2 linked regions of the Danio rerio genome follow. The protein of the gene in region 1 purifies or fractionates together with the protein of each later gene. This does not show direct contact. Links are inferred from orthologs where the notes say so. Each region holds a gene or a part of one and is shown in the gene's direction. Other genes may lie near its edges. The genes, in order: trim25 and ybx1.

Region 1 (4,371 bases):
CTCCGGGTGCTCCGGTTTCCCCCACAGTCCAAAGACATGCGGTAAAGGTGAATTGGGTAGGCTAAATTGTCTGTAGTGTATGAGTGTGTGTGTGTGTGGATGTTCCCCAGAGATGGGTTGCGGCTGGAAGGGCATCCGCTGCGTAAAAACCTGCTGGATAAGTTGGCAGTCCATTCCGCTGTTGTGACTCTGGATTAATAAAGGGACAAAACCGACAAGAAAATGAATGAATGAATGAATGAATGACAATTGCTCAGAAGGTCCTGGATGTCAGTGAGAGTTGCAGAAATGTCCCATCACCATCCTGTGTGACAACTCTCAGTAGGATACACTACAGGATCTCAGGCGGCATCTGTACAAAATAACCAACAATCATCAACATGTCGCTTAACATACAGTATATTAAAGTTAAACTCAAAGAATTAAATTTGTTTATACTAGGCATGCCCCTCCTCACATTCCCCTTTGCATAAGTTTCATGCATGGGTTATAAAGTAAAAAAAAAAAAAGAGAGAACATGAAGTGTAAATAAATATATTAAAAATTATTAAATGCACAAATCTATTAAAACAAAAGAGAGAACGAACTGAGGTAAAATAAAATAAAACAGAGAATATGCTCCACAGGAATCATAGTGATGACTATATATATCAATGCCAATGATCTGCAAACAGAATGTAGTATAGATCAGTAAGTTAAGAATCAAGTTTTATCTTGTACATATTTAGCATTAACATTACCAGAGTATATCAATTACAGAACATGCCACAAAGAAAAATATATTTTGTTATCTTTGATATTAATAAACTTCATGTGGTGGACTGTTTTGCTCAAAACTCTTTAAAGTTTACATTATTCTTCTAAGTGAATAAAACCACCAACTGTACGATCAACCTGGAAAACGCCAACCCTAACACAGAAAACATTTTTTTTTAGGCTTTAAAACTTCATATCTCCTTAAAGGCCTTTAATTAAATAAATGACACATAATACGTGAGGTGTACTGCACTATAATTTGACCATTTACATGACAGAAGATGTGTACTTACCATGCAGAGATGAAAACCGGAATCGAAAGCATACATTACATCAACGTCTGTTTCCATGAACCAATGAAAGACTTGTGGGCGTAGTGACATGTTCAGTCTCGCCCATTTATGGGCGGGGCTGCACATTCAGCTCCGCCCCATATTCAGCCCCGCCCAGATCTGCGGGCTGCAGACGGGTGTACTTGACGTAGGCACGTTGCACATAAGTTTCGTTTCTCCGCCTTTCTAGTTTCATTTCGGCAACAGACAGAGTTGTGCGTAGTCATAGCTTCTCCTTCACGAACGATGGCGGAACAAATGTCTCTGTTGGGTCTCGAAGACGAGTTAACATGCAGCATCTGTTTATGTCTATTCGATAACCCGGTAAGTTTAATATGTGGGCACAGCTTCTGCGCCAATTGTCTCGAAGAGACGTGGAAAGACAAGATTTCGTCTCTGTTCTGCCCTCATTGCCGAATGGCGTTCAGCAGTAAACCCGAACTCAAGAAGAACACTGTCCTCGGCGCGGTGCTGGATGCCTATAGAGTAAAAGCGGGCATTTCGGAACCTGTCAAGAATCCAGTTGAAGAGAAAAAGAAGGATCCAGATGCGATTAAATGTGACAGCTGTATGGAAGCCAAAGCGGTCAAAACTTGTCTGACGTGTATGGCGTCCTATTGTGAAGATCATGTGAGGCCTCACCGAGAGAATGCCATTTTCCGGGCGCATCAACTTTGTGATCCGCTGCCAGATCTAATGGAGCGTCTCTGTTCCGATCATGGCAAACTGATGGAGTTCTACTGCATTCAGCACCAGAGCTGCATCTGCAGCACCTGTCTTCAGTACATTCACAAGGGCTGTGAGTTCATCACCGCAGATGAGCGGCGCTTCAAACAAAAGGTCAGGCCCTCTTAATAAACACGGAAATGTGAATTTAAACAGCTGTAAACAAAAATACGCTCTGAAAGAGTCCAAAACTTGTATTGCCAGTGTTAGATTCAAGCCATTTGTAAACATGTTAATTGTAAATATACTTTTTGTTTGTCGTTTTTAATGATTAATTATAAAAAAGTCCATATATTAATTATTAAAAATATAAATTATTATAGTAAATAATATACTAAATTTACACTATTTAGTAGACAAGTTGTGAAGGGAGAGACCACAACAAAGGGTAACTGTTGTGTTGGGGCCCAAAAATTTACATGAAGCCTGCTTGGTTTACAATTGTGCAATTGCACTTTAGACTGCCAGGAAAGGTAGTGCCGGTCGCGATCTATAGCCCAGCCCTTCATGATTCATTCAACATGTTATTGTAATTTATCCATTCATCACATAACTTCTTTACAGCAATGAGTTATACCTCAAAGTAAAACTCTTACAGCTCTTTCTTGTTAAAAAGGCACAGCAGTGGACTTCTCCACTTCTGCGGCCATCTGACAAATTTGCTCCATTTAAGCAAATATCCCCCAAAAAATTTACAAATGTCTCACTGGATGTGAGTCTCCTGTCTCGGCCAGTCTCACACAGAGAAGGCGCTCGTTGATACTTCTTTGGAGGAGTTTGCAGATGACTCTATGTCGTTGGTTACATCCAACACGGAACAGTGGGACATGTTTGAAGTGAATTTCAAAGTCATTTCTCCTTCACAAGCAGTGTGTCCTGTAGTAGACAGTAAATTCCTTGCCAAAGGTCTGCCCGTTCTTGCCCTCAACCCACAATGAGTTTATCAAGATGTAAGCACACATCCAGTTCAGTCAGAAAAATACCTTCTTTACAGCTGCTCTCACCTGTGTTGATGACACAGTGCAAAGAGGCCATTCAAAGCTTTGCCCACAAAAAGAAACTGTCACTTCACTTCACATTATTGTCTACCTTCCGCGATGTAGGCAGGTGTTTTCAATAAGTTGTAGCCATTTGAATATAAACAAAACATTTGAATTGGTAAAACAAAACATTTGTAGTTTGTAAAATACACACTGATGTCTACAGAAGGCGTATACAATCTAATTGTATAATTCAAAACAGATTAGGGCTACACGATATTGAGAAAATATGCAATATTGTTGCTGAATATTGCATTAATGGTATTTGTTGTAATAACAGTTTTATTGAGAAATTCTATTTATTGTTAGATAAAAAAAACTGTGTGTAACGATCATACTAAAATATTTTGTGCATATAAAATATTACACATGATACCATTTTCTTAAATCTAATTTAAGCAGCAACAAAGAAAGGAAGGTGCAAAAAAGTAACTAAATAAAACACTATGAATAACTAAAAACTTTGGCAGATATGCAGATTACTTGTTTGTAATGTAATGTAATGTAATGTGTATTTATATAGCGCATTTATTGTGTATGGCCATACACCCAAAGCGCTTCACAATCATGAGGGGGGATCTCTCCACACCACCACGAGTGTGCAGCATCCACTTGGATGATGCGACGGCAGCCACAGGACAACGGCGCCAGTGCGCTCACCACACACCAGCTATTGGTGGAGTGGAGAGACAGTGATAGAGCCAATTCGGTGGAAGGGGATGATTGGGAGGCCATGATCATAAGGGCCAAGGGACTTTGGCCAGGACACCGGGGTTACACCCCTGCTCTTTCACGAGAAGTGCCATGGGATTTTTAATGACCACAGAGAGTCAGGACCTCGGTTTAACATCTCATCCGAAAGACGGCGCCCACTGACAGTGTAGTGTCCCCTTCACTTTTACTGGGGCATTAGGACTCACATAGACCACAGGTTGAGCGCCCCCTGCTGGCCTTACTATCACCACTTCCAACAGCAACCTAGTGTTCCCTAGTGGTCTCCCATCCAGGTACTAACCAGGCTCAGCCCTGCTTAGCTTCAGTGAGTAACCGGTCTTGGGCTGCATATCACAGGTTTGGTTTTACATAGATTTGTAAACAAAAATGCATAATTCTAAAACATTGTTGTTTTTTTTTATTAATTCAGCAACTTTAAACAAGAGGATATTTAAAGAAAACATTGCCTTACCTGTGATTTGTCATGTTTAAATAAAAACACATACTAATAATTCAAATAAATATAATAAACTTAAAGTAAGTTGGTAGGTAGTCTAAAAAACATCAACATTTATTCATTCATTTTCTTTTCTGCTTAGTCCCTTTATTAATCTGGGGTTGCCACAGCGAAATGAACCACCAACTTATCCGGCATATGTTTTGCACAGCGGATGCCCTTCCAATTGCAACCCATCACCTGGAAACATCCATACACACTCATTCACACACATACACTATGGACAATTTAGCTTACCCAATTTACATGTACCACTTGACTTTGACTTGTGGGGGAAACCGGAGCA
Region 2 (4,418 bases), on another chromosome or scaffold:
ATGATGCATCATGCCATAAGGCAAAATTTGTCCAATTTTTCTTACAGGAAAGACATTCAATGTTAATGGGATGGCCTGCAAGCAGTCCAGACCTCAACCCAATTGAAATCTGTTTTGGAAACTATAGAAAGTTCTCCATGACAAGGCTACAACCTGCAAATCTGATCCGCCAAGTGCAATAAAACAAAGTTGGAGACCGACCTTCGAAGAATACTGTAAATCCATGTCTCAGATAATCCTATGGTGGTACTAGTGTACTAGCAGTGTTTTTATTTGGTGATTCCATATAATATTCCTCAGATTTGTGTGATTCCATTTTTTTTTTCCTTTGTTTGATCTGTTAAAACAGTTGTAATTGACTACAGTCTTGTTTCATACAGCCAGAAGGTTGGATTATTGAATGGAAATAGTTTTGTGGCATGTGATTCCATATTTTTTTTGCCAGGGGTTTTAGTAACTAAAACCAACAAAACATTGTTATGTAGCATTAAGTGATGCTGAAACATTCATTTTAATTACCTACATTACCAGTCAAACGTGTTCACCAAGGCTACATTTTTTTGATCAGAACACATTGGGTAACCTTGTGAAATATAATATATTGTATTTGTATGAAAATGTTGTTTAACACCAACATTTTAGTGATTTAAAGCCGATTTTTTAGCATCCTTTACTCACTGAGATCAAATTTGTTTTATATTCACACATTTGGACTTTCTCCTTAATAATATAATTTGAGAAAAGCATTATTTGCATTCTAAATGGTGAAATAATGTTAGCAGCCAGTGACTATCAAAGACAACATTGTTCACAGTAAAATAAATAGTGCTAATGTTGTGTTCAAGTCATAGACCCTACATGTGAGTTCAGACCGAATATTCAAAGTACCATGGTAAACAATATAGGAAGCATGTCACAAGTTGTCAATAAATGAATATGTGAAATATAAAACCAACTTTACCTCAATCCGTTACTCCAATCTTCAGTGCCACATGATAGTTCAGAAAACATGCTAATGTCATTTCAGCTCTTGATATATATTACAACTTGTATTAATAATTTGTTCTGCTTTATAATAGTGAGGGGGAGACTATATTTATTTCATGATACTTTCGAGGAATGTTCAAACACATAGACACATACACACAATGTGTATTATATATAGCTAAATAGTATCTTGTCTATCTGAGGTACGTTTCTATCTAATCTACACATTTTACTGACTTTCTATATTTCTAATTTACTTTTACATGCATATTTCATTTCACTTTACATATATAAGCCTACCCTTAGGCAAATATAAATGTATGTCAATCTCTTCGTTAAGAAATCTGGAACTCAAGCTCATGTTCTGGTTTTACGTTTGTTTCCCTTTAGCGTGTGTTAAATATCTACCTGCCGGTATGTCTGGAAGGTTAAATAGGGTCTTGATTTGCAGGCGGTGCTAATTATTTGTTTAACCAGTCCCGGTCAGCCCTACAATTATTTTTATGTGAATGATAGCAAAAGTGTCCAATGGGCGTCGGCGAAAAAGCTGACGTTGACTTATCGCAAGTTCGTCGACCAATTAGATTGGGGAATGGGTGGAGAGATGTGACAGAATATCGTCCGGCATTTTTACTCAGTCCGTCCAGTTCGATCGGCAACGGGAGCGGAGAAAGGAAAGCGGAGAGCCCGAAGGCAGCAGCCCCCACCACCGCCGGCCCAGGTTACCATCTAGCACCGGGAAAACACACTAGAGAGCCACCGCCGGCTTTACCAACAAGAAAACAACATGAGCAGCGAGGCCGAGACACAACAGCCGCCGCAGCCTGCCGCCGACGCGGAGAGCCCGTCCAGCCCGGCAGCCGCAGCTACCGCGGGGGATAAGAAGGTCATCGGTAAGCTTGTCGGCGAAACCAAAGCCCCCCTGGCCTGCGGTCGTTTAAGTTTCGGAATAATACATTTTCTTAAACGCTCCAGGGTTTATTTCAGTTATGTTACAAAATGTATGTCAGTTCAAGAAAGGCCACGCTGTCTGCGACTGTGCTGTCGTTATTCCGTCACCAACTTAATTTGTGTTCTGTACCCGTGGCGTCCTGCCTGGTATTTTTGTTTTGGAGCTGTCCGTTTATTTACCACATGTTAAGATTTACGTACATTAAACTTGAGACGTTAAACGGTTTCACCCAGTTTGAATGTTAACTCGCGTGTCGCGTTCCATCACATCCGCGTGCGGATTGAAGACCGCCATGACGCGTGCTCGAGCCCGCGGCCTGCTTCAGCAAATACGAGACGCAGCGTGCTTCTTGCATTTACATGCTCGCTGTCGTGAATTACGGCAGCAGATAATTTGATAATTTTCTTGTATAATATCAGTATGCTTATTTGTTTACTGGTCGATTTTGACTCTGCGTGAAGCAGATCTTTGAGCTTGGCCTTGATCGTGACATGATGACCCAGATCATTGACCATAGCTGTTCGCGTGAAACGCGCAAACCTTCCCATCATAACGTTACGTGTCCAATTATTGTGGTCAGCGCGAACCGTGTCTGTTTAAAACCCAATCGCCAACTTTGGGAGCCGGTTTCTTGTGAAAGCGAAAACAAGCCATGCTAATCTCCTTCTCTTTGTTCGCTTGAGGAGATTGACGCGTCGCGCATACGTGTCCTCCTCTCCATTAACACCAAAAACGCCGCTTCTTCAAGATTTTATCAACCGACGTACGGTTTATAGCGCAGATTGTATAACAGCCGTATAGATAAAGATAAGCTGCCCGTGTCTCGCCACCCCGTTTAGAAAATGTCCGCCACGGTGTTTGGATGATGGACGGTTCTTTTGTCTGCTCCGCTGCTGCAAACACTGAGCGCTTCGGGCCTTTAACTACAGGCCCTCGGCGTTTGTTTATCGCGATCCCAACACAAATAAATAATGTTGGGTAACATCGTGTCCTGTAGCGAGGATGGCGTGTCTGTGTAGTGTTTGGCTTCGATCCGGCCACATGGCTGAGGCTACTGTGCTAACTGCAGTTAGCATCTCAAGCATCACTTCCTATAACAGAAATCGCGCATTATTTGCCGAAATGTGGTTTGAACTAAATCCAAATCATCAATTAAAATGAATTTTATTTCGACTGATTTGTTAGAAATACGCACGTTTTATTGTAGTTCTTTCTCCTTCTCACTTATTTTTTGTGAACGTTGGTGTTTAAAGTTTGTCGTAATGCCACAAAGCAAAATATTATTTGTCATATTAAATAATTTGGCCTTTAAAAACAAACAAAAAAACATTATTAAAGTATTTATATGCGTCTGCCTCAGAGCAAGCATTTCTTCCAAACTTTAACATTTTAGATCCGAAATGTTCTTCATGTGGACCTGCCGGTTGTCAAATTTTAAAGGGACTTGCTTATGTGTCAACAAAAACCCAGTTTACACAATTAAGACTTCAGTTTACGCTTCAAAATGTAGCTCGCTTATTTCCCCTCATCACACACTCGCACTGTTAGAGGTTTTGTTTATTCTTTTAATTTTTATATTAAGTAACTTATTAATGTGAAGCCTCTCCTGGGGGAAGGGGTGTGGGGTTTTTAAAGGATTATTAAAGTTTTTTTTTTCTGATTGCATTAAAGATTAGACCGAAACCTGATTTCATTGTTTTTAAGTGTCGACCAAATTGTGATCTAAACAAAAATGAGAGGTAATACTTTGAACTGCTTGGGTCAGGGCCTTTCATGGTGATGGAGGCTCTTGTGATAAGTGCAGCTGCCTTTGCATCACAGTCTATTAAAAGCTCTACAGTTGGAGGCTATAAATAGAGCACACAAAATGAACTCCGCTAGCCAGGGATGGTAACTTTGCTCAATGCGTCTTTCATTATTCGGTGTAACCTGACTCTTGAATACTGTTTTTTAAAATACAGATTTGTTTTGAGTCTTAAATCTGTTTTTAACAGCCCTTTTCCTCATCTTTGCAGCAACAAAAGTTTTGGGGACAGTGAAATGGTTCAATGTAAGGAACGGCTACGGTTTCATCAACAGGTAAATAACTTTCAGCTTCTGAAGAGCTATCTAATATAATATGTGGGTCAGGGAACATCCACAATCCTATTAGAGCTTTGCTTACAAAGCAGGACCTGACATGCACTAGCATGCTAATATTTATCCAAATATTTAACTTGCTGCTCAACTGAACATGCTTGTTTACACTAAGTCCTCGGCTTTTAATGTTTTCACTTTCTTTATTTTTGCAGGAATGACACAAAGGAAGATGTCTTTGTGCATCAGGTGATTATTTTCTCCAGTTTTCTTTTTATATTTGTGTTGGGGTAGATGTATTTTTTTCTGATTGCCTTTGTTTTCTGTCTAGACCGCCATTAAAAAGAACAACCCCAGGAAATATCTCCGTAGCGTTGGGGACGGAGAGACTGTGGAGTTCGAC

Evidence for each region.
Region 2: the proteins of trim25 (region 1) and ybx1 purify together in Homo sapiens (affinity purification with western blotting; 4 studies listed by BioGRID and IntAct, with this or other methods). This does not show direct contact. The link is inferred for Danio rerio from reciprocal best matches to the Homo sapiens genes TRIM25 and YBX1.

What each region holds. Positions count from the first base shown.
Region 1 is NC_133181.1:24,418,854-24,423,224, reverse strand, and holds the start of trim25 (E3 ubiquitin/ISG15 ligase TRIM25), read left to right. Parts: upstream 1-1,276; 5' UTR 1,277-1,334; coding exon 1,335-1,928; intron 1,929-4,371.
Region 2 is NC_133183.1:56,877,215-56,881,632, reverse strand, and holds the start of ybx1 (Y-box-binding protein 1), read left to right. Parts: upstream 1-1,568; 5' UTR 1,569-1,774; coding exon 1,775-1,880; intron 1,881-3,954; coding exon 3,955-4,018; intron 4,019-4,230; coding exon 4,231-4,264; intron 4,265-4,346; coding exon 4,347-4,418. UniProt on the Homo sapiens protein: DNA- and RNA-binding protein involved in various processes, such as translational repression, RNA stabilization, mRNA splicing, DNA repair and transcription regulation.